Ovis aries: one gene and its partner. The protein of the gene in region 1 interacts with the protein of each later gene in a pairwise test. Links are inferred from orthologs where the notes say so. Each region holds a gene or a part of one and is shown in the gene's direction. Other genes may lie near its edges. The genes, in order: TFAP2A and glutathione S-transferase omega-2.

The links.
Region 2: the proteins of TFAP2A (region 1) and glutathione S-transferase omega-2 interact in binary tests that used the Homo sapiens proteins (3 or more experiments, as listed by UniProt). The two-hybrid records come from large-scale screens. The link is inferred for Ovis aries from reciprocal best matches to the Homo sapiens genes TFAP2A and GSTO2.

The regions. Positions count from the first base shown.
Region 1 is NC_056073.1:44,835,455-44,847,816, forward strand, and holds part of TFAP2A (transcription factor AP-2-alpha), read left to right. Parts: coding exon 1-277; intron 278-3,389; coding exon 3,390-3,441; intron 3,442-5,470; coding exon 5,471-5,702; intron 5,703-7,607; coding exon 7,608-7,726; intron 7,727-9,653; coding exon 9,654-9,795; intron 9,796-11,693; coding exon 11,694-11,982; 3' UTR 11,983-12,362.
Region 2 is NC_056075.1:24,532,055-24,544,416, forward strand, and holds part of glutathione S-transferase omega-2, read left to right. Parts: intron 1-3,497; 5' UTR 3,498-3,685; coding exon 3,686-3,719; intron 3,720-3,997; coding exon 3,998-4,106; intron 4,107-5,910; coding exon 5,911-6,133; intron 6,134-7,062; coding exon 7,063-7,164; intron 7,165-12,362. UniProt on the Homo sapiens protein: Exhibits glutathione-dependent thiol transferase activity. Has high dehydroascorbate reductase activity and may contribute to the recycling of ascorbic acid. Participates in the biotransformation of inorganic arsenic and reduces monomethylarsonic acid (MMA).

The DNA.
Region 1 (12,362 bases):
GTCGCAAGATCCTTACTCCCACGTCAACGACCCCTACAGCCTGAACCCCCTGCACGCCCAGCCGCAGCCGCAGCACCCGGGCTGGCCCGGTCAGAGGCAGAGCCAGGAGTCTGGGCTCCTGCACACGCACCGGGGGCTGCCCCACCAGCTGTCGGGCCTGGATCCTCGCAGGGACTACCGGCGGCACGAGGACCTCCTGCACGGCCCCCACGGGCTTGGCTCCGGACTCGGAGACCTCCCGATCCACTCCTTACCTCACGCCATCGAGGACGTGCCGGTAAGAGGCCGCGCGCGCGCGCGGGCGGCGGGAGAGCAAACGCTGTCCCGGCTCACCCACGCCCGGGAAAGGGTCCCCCCCTGGAACGTCCAGCCCCGGGGACTGGGCTTTCCTCCTCCCCTCTGGTTACTTTCTTCACATCTCCTTTTGTTTTATCGGGTGGACCCTTTGAGCACCACCTAGCCAACCGCATGCCAAAGATTCAAAAGTAGTTGAGAGTTCGGCCGGGAGAACAATGGTTCGCAGAGCTCCTTCAAACAATGCCTGCGTTACCATTTATAAATCAGACTGGTGTCACCGTGGACGCTACCTTCCCCTCTCGGCGACAGTAAACTGTTTCGATTATGAGAGGATCTGATTCCACCGCTATGTCTGACGTGGGGGTTTCTCCCAGTCCTGAAAGACGTGTTAGAGTGGATCCAAAGAGCTCATTTAAATGCCCTATCGATTTAAAAGAAAGTGTAAAAGACACACGAAGAAAATTATTTTGGCCGGATTTTATGAGTGCTAGGGGGTCTTTGAAAGTTACGTGTATACCCTACCCTGATTAAAGAATACTAAGTGGCAAATCCGAACAGGAGGACATTAAATGCAGCCTTTTTTCTCTTCCTAGGGGTGCTAAGTGCTGACCTCATAAATCATTAGCTGGGTTCCCAACGCCCATCAAGACCTGCTACACCCCCATATTACTTTAATGTTTTGAGACAATTGGGCAATGCAGTCTTTGAGTTCTAATTCAGTTATCAATAAATGCAGTTTTCTATGATTTCTAAATAAGCATGGTATTAGCACATTTACTCTTTGGCAATGCAAACCAGGCTATTGATAATTTGAAAATACTTTCTGAAATTAAATTTAAACCAGCATCTCTGCTTCAATTCTACATATTTATGGTTTCCTCACAACCTTCCTGAAATGGAATTAGAACAAGCCAATAATTTTATTAAAGCTGTAAAGGCTCTGTTAATGCTGCTTTTCTTTGGAGAGGAAATGTATCTGGATGTGATTTTTGCTAAAATGCTATTTCAAATTACTGCATCAAATATTGCAGCAATATGTCCGTTGACAGTTTAATGATTACTGCATTAGATTGCAAAGAAAATGGTCAGATGAACTTACCTGCTTGCTTGGTGAATTTAAAACATTATTTAAGTTACATAGGGAAATAGAAAATTTATTACATCTCTCATTTGGCCTAGTTAATCACTGAAATTTGTTGGTTATGTTTAGCAGCCTAGCATGGAAAGCAGGAAAGTAGGCATTTGATCTAGTGTGGGGTTTAGTAAGTCTTGTGTGCATGCATATGTGTGTATTTTCATACATGGTTTTAGAAACACATTACACAGTGCGTTTCTTGGAAAGTAAAATGAGAGGTGGAATAGTTGGGAGAAGGGCCATTAAAAAACAAACTTGGAAGTTGTGACCATTTGATCTTCCCCTTCCCGAAGAGTCTCTGAGTCCTGATCCTAGTCTGCTCCTTGGAAATATTTGAATTGCAAAATAACGTTGCTAGCTTTTTAAATCTACTGTGAATTAGAATTGCTCTACTTTGCAAAAAATTGCAAAGTGGCTGGTGTGAATTCTTAACACCTGTATAGTCTCTCTTTGTGGTGAAATTGGCCTACAGGAGAAATTAACCAAAAGATCGAATAAAAACAAGGAAACCCAGTTGCTGCTCTTCCCCTTTCCTCCCCCAACCTTTTAAGAGAAAATTCTTTCAAAGGAATTTGGGTCAGGAAAAGGGTTGTTTTCAATTTTCCCATTGCTGCAACAGTTAACCTTTAATGAGAACGAACGCCAAATATTTAAGAAAATCAAATCGATGGTGAAAATTATTTAATCATTAATATCTCAGTGGGGTTTTAAACTTAACAGTCTTCCCTGTATGGACAAGGTCTAGAAATAACACAAATAAAAGTATTATGCCACACTACATTTACTTTATGGGTTTAGGGTGCATGCATAAAGGGATCATATTTCCCCATATAGTTAAAACACAAGAACTGCAGCAGTAGTCATTTCTGAACATTTCTCAATTTAATTATACTTAAATCCAGAAGCACTTTAGGCAAGTTACAAATGAGAGCATTGAGTATAATAAAACCTGTAATAAAGCAACTTAGTACCATCCACCCGGAATCATTGCGATCAGGCACAATTAACAGGAGCATAAATCCAAGACAGAATGGAAAATGTTCGAATCAGTATTATTGTTGGACAAAGACTAGAGAAGGAAGTAATAGTTTTTTTAAATGGTAATGTCTGCGTTTGGTAACGATTGCGAAATCTTCTATCTCAGCAGCCCTGGTGCTAATTTGTAAACACAGCCAGACATTATATTGCCTGTCAGTTTCTGCATTAGAAAACATGATTTCATTTTACTTTCTAATCACGTTTTGACTGTAGCACACGTATACCCACCCATCTGTAAAAAAAAAAAAAAAAAAAAAAGGGAAGAAAGAAGGCCACACTAACAAATCTGCTGTTGGACACAGCAGGGAAACCTCAAAGGCTGCCCCCTCCCTTCTTTTTATCGTTTTCATATCCAATTTGATATTTGATATTCAATTTAGACAGTAGTCCTTAAATTTTTTGTTTGTTTCTCTGTAAGTGAAGGTGCACAAACACGTTAGCTCTTTATCACATCACCTAAAACGTTTTCGGGACTCCCAGGCCACTCCCGCCTCTGTCATTTCTATTGTGTTTCTCTGGTTTTTGCTACCTGAACAGTGGAATCGCTGAAGTCCGAAGCCGCTGAGGCGCCAAACTAAAGCTAGGTGTATTTTGAAAGGTTGAGCAGGCTGTGAGAAAGATTAGGTGTTCCCAAACTCGATTTAATTTCCAAAGAAAGTTTTGTTCCCCACTCCCACCTCCTTCAAATGTGGATTATTTGCTGGGGGTAGAGAAATTGGCTGTGGGTGTACAGTGAAACCTCTTGAGCTGCAAAGCTCCAAATTCCAATAAGCCAAGATGAGATGTTTATATATAAATGTCACCAGATGGGAGGGGGGATTTCGATTCTACGCCTTCCCCTCCCCCTATCTTGCGCGAAATATTCATTTCCTTTTGTTTTGATTATACACTTACATCCATGTGTATCCTTTTGTTGCAGCATGTAGAAGACCCGGGTATTAACATCCCAGATCAAACTGTAATTAAGAAAGGTAAGCCATTTCCTTCTGCATTCCAAGCATGTCCTTACAGGCACAGTGTTATTTAAAAGAACTTGCAGAGGTGTATTTATTTTTTTCAAGTAGGATTTCCTAAAGGCTCAGAATTATCGAATAGATAGGCATAGAACAGCAATGCTCAAATGATTTAGTAATGGCAACAGGCTAGCTTTGTTCTGATTTATGACTTGACCATTTAATTTAGTTTAATGATATCTGGACAAACACATGAAATGTGTAACAGTTGAGCAGATTTGGAAGTGGCATTTCAATTTTGAAACAGCTTTAACAGTTTAGTTAATCCACTGCCTGAGTGGCCATGAGTGTTATAGGAAGCGCATCATGCTAACAACGATGCAAGTAATTCAGTATTAATATGGGGGCAGATGATAAAGACAGCACTCCTTAGCAGAGGGGGAAAAAACCTTTCAAGTTCTTATACTGAATTTCTCATTAGGTGTTGAAGGGTTTTTTAAACTTTGTGAATTAGGTTAGCAAAAATTTGGCGTTTGGTTAAAATGAGCCTCTTGAAGATGTCAGGTTTATTAGCATAACTGTTCTGAGCAGAAATTGTTTTTTAAAAGTGTCAAGTGATTTGGATAGATTTGTAATTTATGTTGTGTTTAGTGAGTAAAATAAAGTTTACTGGATTAAATGCTATTCACAGCAGCTTCCCCCCCCCCCACTTGGTTATAGTGGCAACGTTACATTTCAGGATTCAAGGCACCACCAGAGAATGATGCTATATAAAACTGTTCTCATTTCTAACCCCAATCAGTATATTGTTAGCGAGTTTAAAGTTTCATTTTTGCATCTGTGAAGTCTTTGTCACGTCAAATTAGATGTGCAAGGGATAAATCTTAAGAGATGCTCTTTCCAAGTCGACATGATAATTGGCTCTTTTATTAGTAATCTCTCAAGAGTTCGTTTAACTCCTATTGTCTCTATTAGCCTCCCCAGAGCTATTAATGTCACAAGTGATCTATCCAAAACCTAGAGACCCCCCCCTATACGTCTAAAATATCCCTATTAAAGAGAGTACTGAGATAAGCATATATTATGTAGTATGTCTCCATGTGGAATTTTAATACAAATGCATACTGTATTTAAATGGTTGTGAATGCATTTGAATTATATTGGTGTTAGAAATGTAACGTGTTGGTCCACTTCCTGCTGGCCTTGAATTTTTTTTTCCCCCAAGTATGGGGGAATCCAACAATGAAGAGCTTGTGATTTAAACTAGTAAGAATATATCCTCCCCCCAAGAAGGCGCTTAAGCGTAGGGACTGTTAACTCTTTGCTCGTCAAAGAACACATTGCTAGTATTCCATGGTAGGCCTGTTTATCCGTTTTTTTTTTTTTTCAATTCAAAACTGGGCTTGGCATGGACTTCCAAAACCCCTTTTCACAGATAAACGTAAAGGGGAGGGGGGTAAGGAAAGGACTATTTATCAAAAGGTTGGGGCGTGTGCGCTGTGTGACACCTTGAATCCACCACTTTTCGGCTTGGGTGCCATGACTGAGATGCTCATTTTTACAGGCAGCTTTAGCCGTGGAGACTCGGCTGATTTTAATTATGGGTCTTTGAACAGTTTCTCCCCAACACTGAAGAAGCCCTCGCCTCCCCCGCACCCCACCCTGAATGCACACGGGGCTTTTTTTCTCGGCTCTGGGCCCAGTGTCCTCCGATGCGGAGAGGCGAGAGGGTCACCGCCTCACCAGCACCTCTAAACAGCACCCCAGCGGTTAAAGGGCGAAGGGTCCCGGCGGAAGGACGAGCCGGGCTGGCGGGGCGGGGTCACCGGGGGCGGGAGGGGGACGCGCCAAGGGGCTCAGGCTTCCACTCCCGACAGGGATGGAGCCGGAGGGACTAGGGGAGGTGGGGAAGGAGCCATGGGATTTTCGGGGCTGGAGGAGAAGCGGGTGAAGGGGGGTTGGTGGCGGCGCAGGCCTGGGGCAAGGGGCCCGGGGCTCTACAGGGCTCCCCGGCGCCCACACGCGGCCTCCCCATGTGTCTCCGCAGGCCCCGTGTCCCTGTCCAAGTCCAACAGCAACGCCGTCTCCTCCATCCCCATCAACAAGGACAACCTCTTCGGCGGCGTCGTGAACCCCAACGAAGTCTTCTGTTCAGTTCCGGGTCGCCTCTCGCTCCTCAGCTCCACCTCGAAGTACAAGGTCACGGTGGCGGAAGTACAGCGGCGCCTCTCACCGCCCGAGTGTCTCAACGCTTCGCTGCTGGGCGGAGTGCTGAGGAGGTGAGGCCCGGCATGGCCCCGCCCATCCCCGCCCCGCAGCCGTGAAGAGCGGGGGGGCGGGGGGAAAGCACTGCGCCTGCGCCGGGGCTGTGACGCCAACAGGCTTCGCGCCAGGGCCCGCCCTCCGCGGGAAAAGAAAGGGGCGGGGAGAAAGAGCGTAGAACCGAGTGGGTGGGAGCTGGGGGTGGGGTGGGCGGGGCGAGGCGACGCGCGCCTGCGCACTCCGCCGCTTTCCCGCCCGCGCGCGCGCGCTCCGTCGTTCCAGGGGCGCGCGGCCGGCGTGGCGCGCTCACCCGGCGCTCGGCCGCCCCCCGCCCCTCCCCGCGCGCACGCGCAGCTCGCTCCGCGGCGGACTCAGTCCCGGCCGCGGCAGCCGCGGGGCGCCGTGCATCCGCCTGTTCCCTCCTCGCGCCCGTGTCGCAGGCCTAGAAAAACTTCATCTCGGGCTGCTCACTTTGCCTTGCCTGCATGCAAGGTCTCTGATCGCAGAGGGCTTGCGGCCCTTGAATAGGGTTTTAAGCAGAAGACGATGGTTTTAGAGTCAGCGCGCCACGCCCCCGCGTCCCCGTCTCCCCAGGCTTCACGGGCCCGAGGGACTTGCACTAATAATTCGGATGCGCCGCGTCCGCACGTGCCAGCCTGCGTGCACGGCACGGTTACGTGCGTTTTGTGCGGTCGCTACCTACGACTGCATGTTGCTTACGTGGTCAGGAATTCTCATCTCAACGCGCGCGAGGTTGGAATGATTCGTTTCCTAGATAAGGTTTTATGAGGGTCAGCGAGGTGAAGCACCTTCCCTGAGGGCAGTTTGTCCCTCCTGTGGGCTTTTTACTTCTTGGGGTCCCAGCCAGGGTTGTGTGTGGTGGGTCTTGCGTTGAACGGTCCCAGATATTTCCTACTTCTTTCTAGTTTTTAATAAGAAAGTGGGCCCCACACTTCATTCTTTGACGTGTACACATATAGCTGTATATAGACCCGGAGTTCTGCTGTGATGGGTATATCCTATACAAAGGCTTACAGAACCGTTTTTGGACAGATTTTAGCATCAGCTGTTCTACTCTTTTCTTCCTCCTTCACAGTCATTTGCTGTTCCTTTGTAATCTTTCACTGACACATCTAAATCTGCCGCTGCCTCTTCCTACCCCTTCCCCCATCCCCAGTATTGGAGACTGTTTACCTAGGGGAGTATAATCTAATCCACACAATTAAAGAGCACTTGAGTAGGGAATAAAATCTGAAATTAATTAATTTGCTGTTTTATTTAAACAATTTATCTTAACCACTTTCTGATTATGGGAGTCTATTTAGACATCTATTTAGAACCACCTCCACTGTCTCTGAATTCAGTGACATTTGTAAAGGCTGATATCAACTTTTGACATTTCCAGTTAGGCTGGTGACATGGCATGTAAACAGTTGGTGAAATGAATTTCCCACTGGGGCTGAAGCCGAGCAAGAAACCTGAGAGTGATGATAACTTTGGTTACTCTGAACAGGCTCACAGCAGATCTAGCAAAGACAATTTAAAGACCCCATTGGGATTTGTGTGATTGTAACAACAGGGAAAATATACAGTAATCAGTTGAACTCAAAAATACTTCACACCCTGGAGATGAGAACTGTGTTTATCTGTTTGTGGTTCTTCTTTAGAGAGTTGGGAAATCAAAACCTTCTAACCTGCCACCATAGTTGCAGTAATAAATGAACACAGAGGGTGCTTTACAGTCTAGCAAGTATGCATCTCCTATGATCTTTCCTTCCCAGGTTTCCTTTCCTTATATATCTAGGGGCCAGGATTCTTAATTTTTAAAAGCGAATTTTAGGAAGTTGTCAAAATGAGTACAGTGGGATGCAGAGCAACTGAATGTTTTCTAAATCCATTTCTCACATATATTTGTGAAACAGGGCGAAGTCTAAAAATGGAGGAAGATCTTTAAGAGAAAAACTGGACAAAATAGGATTAAATCTGCCAGCAGGGAGGCGTAAAGCTGCCAATGTCACCCTGCTCACATCACTAGTAGAGGGTAAGCGAGTTCCCTTGCTAACAAGAAGGGAAGTTTCTCCTGGGAAAGTGGATGCTATTCAATGGCCAGATGTTTGGTTATATTTTGTGTCAATTGTGCAGTTTCATTTTTTTCCAGAGAACGTAGCTGGAAGTGAACAGAATTCTTGCATGTGAAAAAACTATTTGCATTTAGTCCTGTCCTCCTTTCCTCTTCCCCTCTGCTACCAAATTACACCCCCTGCCCCAGCCCAGTTTTGACCTAAACAATGTGAAAATTTAAGAACTGCATACTCTTCAAGTTCCTGTCTCCTTTATGGAGCTCAGCAGTAAATCACTTAAGCTACTCTGACATCTGCGTTTGAGAAATGCGTGACCATTACTTCCTGAATTAATTTGGGAATCTTTGACCTGCATCCTGATTTAAGACCATCCTGAAAGCTCAGGGTTATATGCCCTTTCAGGTTTTTGTTTTCCAAACATATGCTCCCTTATCTCTCATTTAATTGTGCTTCTCTACTGGAGAGGAAGAAAAATGAACAGTTTTAGACTTTGAGTTATTTGGATAGGAAAAGAAAAAAGAAATAAGCATTGCAAAAAGTTTCTCATGACAGTTTTTTTAAGCGTGCCCTCGAGCACACACACACACACACACACACACACACACACACACACACACACACACAGAGGCTTCTAAACCCCTCAAAACAAAAGCTCACCCTGTCCTCACTCCCTTTCGATATATGCCACAGTCCAGTTATGGTAGTCACATTTGTACCTCCTCCAGATCCTTGTTAAGTTTGTCTGATACTAAATTGGCTAAAGTTTGGGTGTGTTGGAATGAATGTATAATTCTCTCGCATTTTCCTTTGTGTTCTGTTGGAAATGTCTCATGCCAATAGGAAAAAAAGGAACTTAAGTTATGGTGCAGATTTCAAAACCACCATTTATATTTAAAGATGGCACTTTATCTTACTTATATCTTGTATTTGAGAAGATATTGTATAACAGTTCAGGTTCTCACATTGTAAATAATTTTTAAAATATTTAAAAACACAAATTTGAGGAGAAATCCTGTGAACCACTTGTTAATGGTGTCAAAAATGATAACTCATGTAACTGTTAAGGAATAAGCAATCGTTCAGTTGCAGAAACTTATCTACAGTAGCACTGTATTAAAAATAATACCGGTGCCCTGGGAACCCACCATTCAGACCCAAAAGCAAAAAATAGTAGTAATGATTTTGGGTGTAGTGTGCATGGGTCTGGGGGTTGAGTCCCATAGCAGGGAGGCAGTTTCTGGAGAACTGTTATTGTTTGTGATCCGCTCCATTTTATGGAAACAAGCTCCGCGGAGAGGGCTTTGATGCTCTAATTGGCGCATGCGTTCTTCCGGAGCTGGAGCTAATGGCAGGAAGCCCTGCAGTAAAAACCAACTGGTTCAGGAAATTAAAACCAAAGATTTGAAAATCAACAACACAGACAGACTCAGTGGAGTGACCCTCAAATCCTCTTGGTTAATCGGTTTGGATGAACAGATAATTATATGCGATAAAGTTAAAATGTAAACCCTGAGTCGTTCCCTTGCAGAAAAGCTCAAGAAGTAATTATGAATATCATTTTATGAACACGTTAATAGGTGTGAGGCTGGGACACAAGAAATGTTTTAAAAGAGATTGTGGGAGAATGTCATCAGGGTGGGGGATGAGGCTGTGTGGGGAGGTGATGGAATCTACATTTTCAAATCATCTTGGCCTTCTAGGGTAAGTGGCCATTTTCCCTGAGAAATGCATCTGCTAGAACCCTACAGAGAAGGAAAGAAAATGCCTGAAGTGGGGAAACAAGTCGTTTGTGTTTCCTGCGACAGCTGGGTTAAGAAAATAAGGGAGCTGGAAGTCTTGATCCCAGCTTTTTTCATTCTTTTGCCCTCTCCTTCCTCCTTTTGCCAGGAGAAGCTGTCCACCTAGCCAGGGACTTTGGGTACGTGTGCGAAACCGAATTTCCTGCCAAAGCAGTAGCTGAATTTCTCAACCGACAACATTCCGATCCCAATGAGCAAGTGACAAGAAAAAACATGCTCCTGGCTACAAAGTAAGACATTTACCTCTTCGGGGTCTCTGTGTCTCACTGTCAAAGAGAAACATCAAAATCGTCTTTGCTCTCACTTTTGGCCTCTTTTCCTTTTGTGTTAATCAGTTTTGTTGTTGTAAACGCTGAAATTACAACACAATCTTATAAACCATGATGGGGCTTAAAGAGGAAATACAAGGAAGATTATGAGTGTGTATTTCCCTCTTTCCCCTCCCTTCTGCCCTACCTTCTCATTAAAAAAAAAAAAAAAAAAGAGCATGTATGGGAATGGGGTATAGTGGGGATGTGAGGGAAGCTGAGTGTGGCTTTGTGACTGTTATTTTAGGAAAACCAGAACCAAGTTCTTAAAGGAGTGGACAGACTTGCCTGTGTCAGTTTTTGTCTCTTATCAATAGGTTCTCCAAGGGCAAGGATTAAGCTAGTGGCTTGCAAAATGTTCGGGTCAGAAGCTGGCCTAGTTTCTACCCTAATCCCTTCTCCCATTTCTTGCCTTGCTTTCTCGACCTCCTCAAAAGTGCTGCATACTCACAGCCCACAAGTTCTAGCCTACAGGCGAGATGTCAAATCAGTTTCAAAATGGCCCAAGTTTATATTCCCATTGGTGCCTGGGCTGAATAGGCTTCTCCAGGTGGTGTGTGAAAAGAAAATGACTGTTTTGATATGTTTTCTGGAAATTAAAAGGCTTGTTTGGAAGCCGGTAATTATCAAAGATGATGTCCCAGGAGGGCTTGGATCCAGAGGGCAGAGGCTGAGGCCTCTGGCTGGGCACTTTCTAGCCTGGGGAGACATCAACTGGCCTTGGGGGAGGCAGCCGGCCAGTACTCCCCATTCTGCCTCCCTCGTGTGGAGCCCCCTATCCAAAGCCCCCACCCAAGTCTGCTGCTGCCTCGGGAAGGCCCCAGCCAGTCCTAGCTTCCCAGATTCAGAGACTGAGCTACCCCTGTAGGCCTCATCGCCTGTATTTCAACTTTTCCCTCTTCTCTTAGCTTCCTAAGCACACCCACACTCACAGTTTTACCTAGACATTTTTTTTGGTGGCGGTGCGTGGGGGGCGGTGGGGCGGTGGGGGTGGGGGTGGGGATGCATGGGAAAGGAGGTGGCAGGGGAAATTGAAATGTCTATTTCTGCTTCCCCAAACCACTGAATTATCCCCACACTTGGGTATTCAAGTGCCTTTTATTTTTTAAGAGTAAAGCAATCCCAAGAAAAGTTTTGCCTTCCTTGTCCACACCCACCCTGATGTGAAGGTGAATGAGTGGAGAATTCATGCCCCCAGACCTCAGACTGCTGAGGTCACGCTGGAAGGTCAGGGAAGAGGGTCTCTACAGTATTTTGAGCAGGACAGCTGATGGGTGCAGGCTATTGGCTGCGGAAGAGATGCTTGTGTTTCTGACTCCCTGCCTTTCCTACTCACCTTCCTTTCTCTCCGGATGGGTGAAGTGTCTTCCTATGTCAGGGATGCCTGGTGTGAGTGAGAAATGGGGGTTAGAAATTTGGTTCAGGACTTCCCTGGCAGTCCAGTGGTTAAGACTCTGTGCTTCCACTGCAGGGGGCACCGGGTTCGATTCCTGGTGTGGGAACTAAGAGTCCACATGCCACAGGGCACAGCAAAGGAAAAAAAAAGTTTGGTGCAGCTGAGAGGTGAGAGACACACAGGTGGAAAGAGAGAGGGGGGCGTTAGTGGAAGTGTGTAAGGAGCAGGAGATGTGTGGATGGCTCCTGAGAGGTGGCTGGGTCTCCCCAGCTGTGCCCTGCACCCCTGGTCTGTCTCTGGGGCCCTGAGTCAGGTCAGCTGTCCTGCAGACAGAGCTGGTTGCAGAGAGGAAGGTCTTGTCTCGCTGCTGGTTGTGCTCCCACGGAGCCTCACCCCCTGTCTCTCTGCCCTGCTTGCGCTGCAGACAGATCTGCAAAGAGTTCACCGACCTGCTGGCCCAGGACCGATCGCCCCTGGGGAACTCGCGGCCCAACCCCATCCTGGAGCCGGGCATCCAGAGCTGTTTGACCCACTTCAACCTCATCTCCCACGGCTTCGGCAGCCCGGCAGTGTGCGCCGCGGTTACGGCCCTGCAGAACTATCTCACCGAGGCCCTCAAGGCCATGGACAAAATGTACCTCAGCAACAACCCCAACAGCCACACGGACAACAGCGCCAAAAGCAGTGACAAAGAGGAGAAACACAGAAAGTGAGGCTCTCCTCCCGCCCCGCCCGCCCCGCCGCGCGCGCCCGCCCACCTCCGCCTGCACCTCCATCCCCCCACCGCCCGCCGCCGGCAGGTGACAGCGCCGGGGACCAGCGACCCTCCACTGCTGCTACTGCCGCTGCTGCCGCCGCCGCCGCCGTCGCCTTCGGTCCGGAGGCCCCGGGGCCCGGGGCCCACGCTCCACGGCGAGAGGGGCGACCCCTCAGGCCCCGGCCCCGACCGCCCCCATGAGCATCACCTCCCCTTTGCCCCCGCCCCCGCCCCCGCGTGGAGCCTAAGAGAACCGAACAGGCCGTGAAGCCAGCAAAGAAAAGTTCTGTCCGATTTGTGAACCTTTTTTTTTTAATCCAACAAATCAACCACAAA
Region 2 (12,362 bases), on another chromosome or scaffold:
CTGATGTGCAAGGCAAAGCTCAATTATAGTGCATTTTATCTTTTTGTATATAAAATCAGAATGTACTATACTATTAAAAATGTGTCTTTATTCACTAGGAGTAATCATTAATTTTGAAGTAGACTAAAAACTCTTACTATACTGAGGATAGCCACCTGAACAATTGCATTTAATACTCAAAACCCATCGAGTAGGTACTTAGTGTTCTCATTTTATAGGTGAGGAAGATGAAGATCAAAGAGGTCAGATAACTTGCCTAAGTGCCAAGGTCAGGGTTTGAATACAGTGCCAAGTGAGAACCTTGACATAATATTCCTTCCCTTCAGAGGAAAAACAGTCCACCCCTTTGTCCATTCTCCCCTGACTATATCAAATAGACCTTTGCCCCATGACTTCCCATATATTAATACAAGTATACAGTTGACCCTTGAACAACATGGGTTTGATTTGCAAGAGTCCACGTATACATGGATTTTTTTCACTGAATACACGCTACAGTACTACATGGTCTGCAGTTGGTTGAATCTGCAGGTGTAGAAGCACAGATGTGAAGGGCTGACAGTGGTGGACCTGCTGCTGCCGCTAAGTCGCTTCAGTCGTGTCCGACTCTGTGCGACCCCATAGATGGCAGCCCACCAGGCTCCCCCGTCCCTGGGATTCTCCAGGCAAGAACACTGGAGTGGGTTGCCATTTCCTTCTCCAATGCATGAAAGTGAAAAGTGAAAGAGAAGTTGCTCAGTCGTGTCCGGCTCTTAGCGACCCCATGGACTGCAGCCTACCAGGCTGCTCCACCCATGGGATTTTCCAGGCAAGAGTACTGGAGTGGGGTGCCATTACCTTCTCCGGTGCCCTGAAATCTCTAGTTGTTCAAGGGTCAGCTGTATTTTTAATAATATTTACCAGCTCTCAGAGTCAGTTTTATTGAAAAGGTGGGAATAAGGAGACACAACATGAAAATATATTCTCTTCTAGTGTAGTAGAAAGATGGACCCAGGAATCTTTTACTTTTCAAATGGAATCCTCAGTTTGGTTGCTAATCCAGTCATCATCAGTGTATACCAGGGATGGGCAAACTAAAGCCAGTGGGTCAAGTCAAGCCACTGCTCATTTCTTTGCAGTTCAAGGGCTAAAAATAGTTAGGGGAAAACATTTCAGTGAAGAAGTATAATTTGTAACATGTGAAAACTATATGGAATTCACCAAGAGTGAGTCCTAATGCAAACTAGACTTTGGGTGATAATGATGTTTCAATATAGATCCATTGATTGTAAGAAGTGTACCACCCTGATGCAGGATGTTGATGGGGAGGCTATGCATGTGTGGGGATAGGTTGGTTGGAAACTTCTCTATATTCTGCTAAATTTTTCTGTGAACCTGCTCTAAAAAGTAGTTTGTTAAAATATACCTGTATATGAAATTCAAATTTACTATTCATAAATAGTGGTTTATTGGAACATAGCCAAGCCCATTTATTTATATATTATCTATGGCTATTTTCACCTTACGAGGGTAGAGTTAAGTAGCTGAGACAAGATGGCTTGAGAAGCCTAAAATGTTTACTCTCTTGACCTTAACAGAAAAAGTTTGCCCATCTCTGGTATAGAATAAGATTCCAGATGGAGTGACTTGCCCTGGAAATCAAACTTTCAGGCTTCATAAACCTCCTTCCACCTCTTACTAGTTATCAGGCTTTTGACAAGTGACTTAACCTTGCTAGCCTCAGTTTATTTGTCTTTTAAAATGAGGTAAGAAGAGACTCCTTGTAGGATTATTTTAAGGATTTAGTGAATTAATACACATAAAGCATTAAATACATGTTAGTATAATTTACTTTGAGTTTAGAGAGTTTCACATTCCTCATATGGCCTTTCCCTTTAGAATCTGTTTATGTGAAAGTCAACTATTTGAAATACTATACTTCCTTTATGTGAGTGTCACATTTACCTGATCAGGAGTCATTTCCTTGTCTACCAGAAGCTCTCACATGACATGAGTATGTTGACTGTTTCCTTTTTACGCACCGGTCAGTTCATTTCAGTTCAGTCGCTCAGTTGTGTCCGACTCTTTGTGATCCCATGGACTGCAGCATGCCAGGCCTCCCTGTCCATCACCAACTCCCAGAGTTTACTCAAACTTATGTCCATTAAGTCGGTGATGCCATCCAACCATCTCATCCTCTGTCGTCCCCTTCTCCTCCTGCCCTCAATCTTTCCCAGCATCAGGGTCTTTTCAAATGAGTCAGCTCTTCGCATCAGGTGGCCAAAGTATTGGAGTCGCAGTTTAGCATCAGTCGTTCCAATGAATATTCAGGACTGATTTCCTTTAGGATTGACTATTTTGATCTCTTTGCAGTCCAAGGGGCTCTCAAGAGTCTTCTCTAACACCACAGTTCAAAAGCATCAGTTCTTCGGTACTCGGCTCTCTTTATAGTCCAACTCTCACATGCATACATGACTACTGGAAAATCCATATCCTTGACTAGACGGACCTTTGTTGACAAAGTAATGTCTCTGCTTTTTAATATGCTGTCTAGGTTGGTCATAACTTTCCTTCCAAGGAGTAAGCGTCTTTTAATTTCATGGCTGCATCACCATCTGCAGTGATTTAGGGTCAGAGCAAAGGCTAGTTACCCCCTTTATCTCACGTAGATGGAAGAGCTATCCAAGTGACCTCTGTATTGCTGGGCTGTTGGCAGTATGTCCTTGGTAATTAAAAAGGGTCTGCTTTGAAATGTATACTGGGAGTTGAAGAGAGCGCACAGATTTGTCTCTGCCTCTAGATATCTGGTTTCCTATTCATTACTAGTTTTTCATAACGAGTAAAATCTCATAAATAAGGCTGGAACTAGAGTAGTGAGGACATAGAATTAAAGGAGACACTTTAGGGTCGTGCAAGATCTTAACACTAAGTTTTTCTTCTTATCTGCTAGATGATGAAAAAGTTTGGCCTTATTTTATAATTTATTTAGGCTGTACTGGGTCTTCATTGCTGCATAGATGGCAAGCTGGGGGTTACTCTTTAGTTGCTGTGCCTGGGCTTCTCATTGATGTGGCCTCTCCTTGCGAAGCACAGGCTCTAGGGCGCATGGACTCAGTAGTTGTGGTTCCCAGGCTCTAGAGCACAGGCTTAATAGTTGTGGCTCATGGGCTCAGTTGCTTCTGGGCATATAGGATCTTCCCTGATCAGAGATCCAAGTCCTGTCCCACTGAGCCACCAGGGAAATCCTTGGCCTTATTTTAAGATAAAGTACACTCATGTACAGAGTATGGCCAGGAGGGAGGGCTTAGAATGAGAAAGAAAACGTTAGTGTCACCCTGGTCAATTTGTATTAAATTCCCTTGGAATAAGTGGAATTCACATGCCTGTTCTTCACAGATTCTTGATGCAGAGAAAAGACCGCGCAGGATGTTGTGAGTTCAAAGCAAGGGGTACTTCTCAGGTTTGTTTTTCCCGCTCCTACTACACTGGCTTCTGAGTCTGGGGCTCTGTCTCTTCAGGTTGAATTATCTTAGCTGCCGTCCTGGATCACTTCCCTACGACCCCGCCACGGCCCTGTTGCTCCAAAGTTGTATTTGGGGCCAGCGGGGCGCGCCGGAACGCTGCTGTCCTTGGACCCTGCGCCGGCGGCAGCAAGCCTTACGGCAAAGAGTGCGAGCGTTGGTCGTTGCGCAGACGCCGGGAGAGCATGACTGATGACGCGACCAGGACCTTGGGGAAAGGTGAGTCCCCTTGACAGTTGTCCGTGGGCAGGGGGTGCCGGCTGGCTGGATATTGGCTCTGCAGAAGCTGTTGCTGGTCCTTGGCTCGCAGACCAGCGCGGCGGCGAGGAGGATCGCGGTTCCTCCGCCAAAAAGCCACGTGCAAAAAAAAAAAAAAAAAAAGTGTCTTCTCTGGGGCCCGGGAGGAGGACCGCGGTCCTCGTGGGGTTCTGGGAAGGCGAGTGAGCCCCTCTCCACAGAGGGCTAACCCGCCTCCCCGTCTCCCCCTCCACCCGCAGGGAGCATCCCCCCAGGGCCGGTCCCTGAAGGCATAATCCGCCTCTACAGCATGAGGTTCTGTCCCTACGCGCACAGGACGCGCCTGGTCCTCCGGGCCAAAGGCATCAGGTGAGTGGCGGGAGGCCCCATAGGCGCTGGGGAACGTTCACCATCTGGGGCGCCCTGCTTAGGTGTCACAGGCTGTCTGTCACTTTCTTCTGAGACGAAGTCAATAAACGGTTAGCAGAGGGCAGGTGGGTTCTTGAGTGGGCCATCCTGAAATGCAGAATGAGGTCTCTGCAGGAAACTGTTAGGACCAGTCGGAGCAAACTGAATGATGGCTCTGGTGAGCTGGGTTTCTTCCCTAAAGTTTGTGAAAGAGAGGACCGCGGAGGCTACCGAGGCCTTCTCTGACAGCTCTATGAAATGCAGCCCAGACCCCACCCCAGGTATACTCAGGTCAGTTCTGTTCCCCTTATTGCACTAACAACGTTTCCTTACTTACCTGTTTTTCCTCCGCACTCCCCAGCCTCACTTCCATTGCCCCTCCACACACTTTCATACACACTGTCTGTCTGTCTGTCTGTCTCTCTCTTGCACACACACAAATGTATGTTCCTGAAGGCAGGGACTTTGTCTTTCTTATTCATGGGCTAGAAGAGAACCTGGCCAATAATAGGCACTTAAAACTATTTTTTGAATGAATGAGCAAATAGTTCCAAACAAAGAAGCAGAAAGGACTGCTATCAAGACGTTTCCCACACACCTGAAAAATGGGTGCACACTGGTCATAGAAGTAATTTTGCAAGACTAGCTCCTGCAAAGGAGGTCTGGATTTTGAAGGCAGAGCAACTTTACTGGAATGGGGGAGGCTGCATGGAGCCAGCTCAAAGCTAAAGTGTTACTCCAGCCTCCAATGTGTATCATTAGGGGATGACTTCGGAGTTTTGTGCTATAGAGATGCAGAGACTATTACAGAGACTTTAAAAAAAAAAATTATGTAATTCTGCTCTGTGGATTGTCTATGGCTTTTTCCCAGGTTATTCCCTCTTGCTCAATTCTAGTTGGCCCAAAGGTTACTTTTTAAAAAAAAAATAACAATAGATTGATGTTTTACCCACAGTGATGAAGTGGCAGCTTGAGAATTGATAGAAGTCTTTCTTTAGGGCAGAGTTTCTCACCCTTGGCGATGCTGACATTTGGGGCAGACGATTCTTGGCCTTGTGTGTTTGGTGAGGAGGAGGAGCTATCCTGTGTGTTGTTGGATATCTTGCAGCGTCCCTGGCCTCTGCCCATTAGATGCCAGTAGAATCCCCCTCCCTCCAGTTGTGGTGAACAAAAAAATGTCTCCAGATATCAGATTTGTACTTTCAGACTTTAAAATGTACTAAAATCTGTGGTGCCGTGGTTAAGCTTGTGAGCTCTGAGTCAGACTGCCTGGCCTTCCATCTTGGCTCTGCTACTTCCTGGTGGGGAATATTGGGCAAGAGATGGAACCATAAGGAGCCTTATTTCTCAGACGGGATGTGTTAAATGATTTCTTTGCCTTCCCTTGTTTGCATCTCATCATGATTCCCTAGTTTATCTCATGGGAATCATGGAGAGCGAATGGGATAAGGCATAGAAAACAGCAAACACATCCTACTCTTGAAAAGAAGAGTGATGTTGTTATGTACTTTTCTTTGCACAAACCTCAATTTAAAAAACTTATTGCAAATTTTAATTTTATAGATTGATTGTTTCTGCTTTCAAGATGAGTGTCTGGGGATTTCCCTGGCAATACAGTGGTTAAGACTCTGTACTTGCACTGCATGGGCACAGGTTTGATCTCTGGTCTAGAAACTAAGATCTCACATGGGGGGGAGAAAAAAAGATGAGTGTCTGCCTAATCCTCTCATTTTTGTTCTGTCCTGTTTTCCGTTTGCTTTATAAGACATGAAGTTATCAACATTAACCTGAGAAACAAGCCTGAATGGTACTTTACAAAGCATCCTTTTGGCCAAATTCCTGTCCTGGAGAACAGCAAATGTCAACTGATCTATGAATCTGTCATCGCTTGTGAGTACCTGGATGACGCTTACCCTGGAAGGAAGCTGTACCCATATGACCCTTATGAGCGAGCTCGTCAAAAGATGTTATTGGAGCTGTTCTATAAGGTATATCCATTAAAAAATAAACAAAACACTTAACACTCTATTTTACTTTATATATCTTTCTAAACCTCCAATCCATTTTAAAAGTCAAATCATTGGTGAAATTGATTTGTTTTAATATCTGTGTGTGCCTTAGGAGGATAACTAGTGTGGAATTATAGTAAAGCTGTGACCTCTGATATTAAAGTGTTTGCCAATAGCTACTTTTCCAGTGGAACGAGCAGTCTCAAGAGTTATGACTATGGCATAGTTATGACTGTGTAACTTGAGACAAGGAATATTGAAAGAGTGGAAAACTGGTGATACTTTGAAGGAGCTATTTCCAAGGTCTCAGGTGAAAAAAATATCAGGGTGTGAAAACGGTAATGCACAGAAGGAGATTGCCCTTTATGGGGAACAAAAGTGCCAACTGCCCAGGAAATGTGAAGAAGAGAGAAAAGGGGACAGCTGTTGATATTGGGAGAGAATGTGATAGAGAAATTTTATGATAGCTTTTTTTTAAAGAAACAAAAATGACTTAATGATATTAGTGACTGATGTCTACTGAGCGCTAGTGATGTGCCAAGCACTGTTCTAACTGTTTTATAAAGGTTAACCTGTTTAATCCCCATCACTGCCCTCATCAGGTCCCACCTTTTAAGGTGGATACTATTCTTGTGTCCTTTCTTCAGATGAGAACACTGAGGCTTAAAGAAGGAAAATGTCCCACCTAAGATTGTACAGTCTGGAAATAGCTGAACAAGTAAGGCGTACCAGAGAGCCCCCTTTAAAGCCCCTTGTTTAGCTGTGACAAGTGGATTCCCGAAACCACAGAGATCGCCGTCAGGTGGCACTGTGGACAGAGGGACAGAGCTCTGGCTGCATTGTCAGGCAGAGCAGGAGCACGGAGTGCCCTCGGACTTCTCTGCTCAGAACCTGTGTCCTCCGATCAGGTCCCACATTTGACCAAGGAGTGTCTGGTGGCATTGAGATGCGGGAGAGACTGCGCTGATCTGAAGCTGGCCCTGCGTCAGGAGTTCTGCAACCTGGAAGAGGTAAAAATGGGGCCCTCTCCTGGCCAGATGTGGAGGATAAAGTGATGCAGGTCCACACCCTGGTCACCCCGATGCCCTCCACTTTCACAGGCTTATATACTTTTCCTGTCAGACTTTGATAAGTTCAACTACTGGTCCTCTGACTTGTGGATACTTGCGCTCCACTAACCTCCTCTGGCGGAGAAGGCAATGACACCCCACTCCAGTACTCTTGCCTGGAAAATCCCATGGATGGAGGAGCCTGGTAGACTGCAGTCCATGGGGTCGCTAAGAGTCGGACAGGACTGAATGACTTCACTTTCACTTTTCCCTTTCATGCATTGGAGAAGGAAATGGCAACCCACTCCAGTATTCTTGCCTGGAGAATCCCAGGGACGGGGGAGCCTGGTGGGCTGCCGTCTATGGGGTCGCACAGAGTCGGACACGACTGAAGCGACTTAGCAGCAGCAGCAGCAGCAACCTCCTCTGGAATTTTTCTTGAAAATCTGCCTAGGGGTAAGGGAGGGCATGTGATGAACTTGTTCCTTTCCCAGAATCACCACATTCCTGACCTGTCTCTGCACGGATTCTGTAGCTTCTGCTTCTGAGTCCAAGGTCAATATTGGTTAGGGATTGTATTTGGCTTCTAGTATTGATTTAAAAAATTATAAGGATTTATTCTTTCACACACATACACACAAACCTAGAGGTACAGTAGTATAGAGCCGTTTTGATGGCTTCTTTATGAAGTTACCAGGGACTGAGGTTTTTTTTTTTCCTCTTCCTGTTCTGTCATTTTTCAGTGTGAGGCTTACATCCTCAAAATAACAAAATAGTTGCTGGAACTTCAGCTATCACATCCAAGTTCCAGGTTACAGAAAGGACAACAGAAAGGAAAAAACTGGCAAAAAGCCATACTCCTTTAAAGGCTTTCCTAGAAGTTCTGTCCAATGATTACTTAAATTTCATTGACCAGAACTTAGTCATCAAGTTATAAGTATCTGCAGGGAAAGTTGGGAAATTTAATCTCTTAGCTGGGACCACTTTGCATAAAATTAGAGTTCTGTAATTAAGAAAGAAGGGGGAAAATCTTCCCTGGTAGTCCAGGGGCTAAAATTCCATCTTCCCAATACAGAGGGCTCAGGTTCTATCCCTGGTCAGGGAACTAGATCCCACATGCCACAGCTAAAAATATCTCACATGCCACAACCAAGACCTGAGCAGCCAAATAAATAAATGTTAAAAAAAAAAAAAAGGGGGGGGAAGTGTCTATGGGTGATCAAGGAGCAATCTTTGTTATCAGATCCTCCAAGTATCTAGCAGTAATAGGGCTACTTACCCTGCACCTCTCTTATAGTCTGGAAGGTGGTCCTTTGACGTCCTTTGTCTTTGTTCTAGAAACTGATAAATTCCCCTATGGGTGGGCTGTAATTCTTTGGCAGCCAGGGAACGCTATTTTTATCCCCTTAAAAGAAGGCTGATTACTAATATTCTTCTATCTGACCTTTGTGAAGTGGAAGCTGTTAAATTTATTTACAGTTACAGCTGCCTATCTCAGATTTATATAGTTTTAGCATTTATGGATTCAGCATTATGTGTAAGAAATGTCAGCCTTTGGTCCTGAGAACTCAGACTGCGGTCTTAAGTTTGAGGAGGCAAGTAGGATGAGGTAGAAAGAGTCTTGGCTCCTAGGCTTGACTTTATAGGATTCCAGAACCTTCATCAAGGTTCTGGACCTCTCTGTGCCTTGGTTTCCACATTCATAGAACGAAAGGGTATTTTAAAAGGTGTGTTCACAAGTTTTGCAGAGGGGCGGCCCAGTGAGAGGAGGTCTGCTGGTGGTTTTAGCGCCTGCTTCAGCCCGACCAGCCCCGCTTTCAACACTGTGTTTAACAAAACATCTAATAAGCTTGAATTTGAAAAGGGAGGGGGGGGACCTTGCTTTCAAAAAGAAGTTTGATAGCTCTTGCCCATAGAGAATTTTTATGGTCTTTATTTTCAAAGATTAGCTGAACTGATTTTATCAGGTCTGGTTACCTTCTTACGAGTTAAATGCTGGGCCAGGGAAAGGAGCCCTGAAACAAAATCTTTTAAATTCAAAGATAATTGAAAACATACGTTGACCTATCTCCTTCCTACTCTGCAACTGAATGAGGGATGAACTTTGAAAATTACAGATTGCTAAGTAAATGTATAATATTACAGTGGAGGCGCAGTCCCTTAGTTTGGGTTCTTCCAGGGAAGTGAACCTGTGTTTTTGTGCTGGGCATGATGCTAAAGTTGCTTTGCATACTCCTGTTATCTAATCTTGCCAATGACCCTCTCAGATGTAATAAGTAGCATCAGTGAAATTCTGGCTAGTTAAGGGCTGCTGCTGCTGCTACTGCTAAGTCGCTTCAGTCGTGTCCGACTCTAGCCAGGCTAATTAAGGATCACTGAGTATGCAGTATTGTTCCAGATTTGAGTTGTTTTTTTGTCCCATAGAAAGTTAGTAGGAATTGTAAGTACAACATAGGTAATATCAGAATCTGAAAGATGCCCGCTGAGCTTGAATTATTTGATACATTCCTCTTGATACCAGTATATTGACTCTAGGAGATTCTAGTGAAATTGAAACTTGTCAGAATAATTCTAATAGAAATGTTTTCTCTCTATTAATAGAGTTGATGTGTACAATTTTTTCTCCATGGTTTTGTACAATCAGGATTTTCTGTGAGTTGAAAATATCTTACATATCTATGGATTGTCTTGAGTGATAAGCAACTCAAGAGACCAGTGTATAATATTCCATGTTATCTGCAAGCAAACAGGTCAGTTTAAGTTGGCAACCTTATACTCTAACGTTTTCCTCTTTTTAAATAAATGCCGCTTGATTTTTATATTTTTCGTTCAAGCAAGTATCATCAAAATTGAAGGTTTATTTGTGCTTGTTATATAAGCTCATTTTTCCATGTTATTTTTATACTTCTTTGAGATACATTTTTTGTTGTTCAGTTGCTTAGTCATGTCCGACTCTTTGTGACCCCATGGGCTGTAGAAGCTGTCCTTCACTATCTCCCTGAGTTTGCTCAAACTCATGTCCATTAAGTCAGTGATGCCATCCAACCATCTCATTCTCTGTCACCCTCTTCTCTTCCTGCCTTCAATCTTTCCGAGCATCGGGGTCTTTTCCAATGAGTTGGCTCTTCGCATCAGGTGGCCAAAGTATTGGAGCTTTGGCACCATCCTTCCAATGCATGAATATTCAGGGTTGATTTCTTTTAAGATTGACTGGTTTTATTTCCTTGCTGTCCAAGGGACTTTCAAGTCTTCTCCAGCACACAGTTCTAAAGCATCAGTTCTTCAGTGCTCAGCCTTCTTTATGTTCCAACTCACATCTGTACATGACTACTGGATAAACCATAGCTTTGACTATATGGACCTTTGTCACCAAAGTGATGTCTCTGCTTTTTAATATGCTATCTAGGTTCGTCATAGCGTTTCTTCCAAGGAGCAAACATCTTTTAAGTTCATGGCTGCAATCACCGTCCACAGTGATTTCGGGCCCCAGAAAATAAAGTCTGTCACTGTTTCCATTTTTCCCCCATCTATTTGCCATGAAGTTACGGGACTGGATGCCATGATCTTAGTGTTTTGAATGCTGAATTTTAAACCAGTTTTTCTACTCTCTTTTTGCACTTTTATCAAGAGGCTCTTTAGTTCCTCTTCACTTTCTGCCATTAGGGTGCTGTTATCATCTGCATATCTGAGGTTATATCAGTTCAGTTCAGTTCAGTCACTCAGTCATGTCCGACTCTTTGCGACCCCATGAATAGCAGCACACCAGGCCTCCCTGTCCATCATCAACTCCTGGAGTTCACTCAGACTCACGTCCATCAAGTCCGTGATGCCATCCAGCCATCTCATCCTCAGTCGTCCCCTTCTCCTCCTGCCCCCGATCCCTCCCAGCATCAGAGTCTTTTCCAATGAGTCAACGCTTCGCATGAGGTGGCCAAAGTACAAAGTTTCAGCTTTAGCATCAGTCCTTCCAAAGAAATCCCAGGGTTGATCTCCTTCAGAATGGACTGGTTGGATCTCCTTGCAGTCCAAGGGACTCTCAAGAGTCTTCTCCAATACCACAGTTCAAAAGCATCAATTCTTCGGCGCTCAGCCTTCTTCACAGTCCAAGTCTCACATCCATACATGACCACTGGAAAAACCATAGCTTTGACTAGGCAGACCTTAGTCGGCAAAGTAATGTCTCTGCTTTTGAATATACTGTCTAGGTTGGTCATAACTTTTCTTCCAAGGAGTAAGGGTCTTTTAATTTCATGGCTGCAGTCACCATCTGCAGTGATTTTGGAGCCCCCAAAATAAAGTCTGACACTCTTTCCACTGTTTCCCCATCTATTTCCCATGAAGTGATGGGACCGGATGCCATGATCTTCGTTTTCTGAATGTTGAGCTTTAGGCCAACTTTTTCACTCTCCTCTTTCACTTTCATCAAGAGGCTTTTTAGCTCCTCTTCACTTTCTGCCATAAGGGTGGTGTCATCTGCATATCTGAGGTTATTGATATTTTTCCCAGCAATCTTGATTCCAGCTAGTGTTTCTTCCAGTCCAGCGTTTCTCATGATGTACTCTGCATAGAAGTTAAATAAGCAGGGTGACAATATACAGCCTTGACGTACTCCTTTTCCTATTTGGAACCAGTCTGTTGTTCCATGTCCAGTTCTAACTGTTGCTTCCTGACCTGCATACAGATTTCTCAAGAGGCAGGTTAGGTGGTCTGGTATTCCCAGCTCTCTCAGAATTTTCCACAGTTTATTGTGATATGCACACATGTAAATAAACGCCTAGAAAAATGTCTGGAGAGACTCAAATCAGACTCCTGCTGGTGCCTACTACTGGAAGGGGATTAGCCTGGGGGTGGGAAAGAAAAGTGGTTAAGAGCAAGGATAGGAAAAAAAAAATGAGCAAGGATAGGAAGGGAGAGCCTTTGCCTTCTATACTGCTTTCTATGTTTGAATTTTTGTTTAATAATGAGAATTTTTTCTCTATTAATGTGTAATTATTAAAGATGGAAAAAAATCACTTTTCATTCTGCATAATTTGCCATATGCATAAGCCAGAGTTATGTGTCCAGCACACTCATTAGGGTTATTTAGATTATTTCAGTTGCTTATCATTATTAATGATGCCTCCCAGAAACAGCAGCTCTTTTGCATAAAAAGCCCTTTC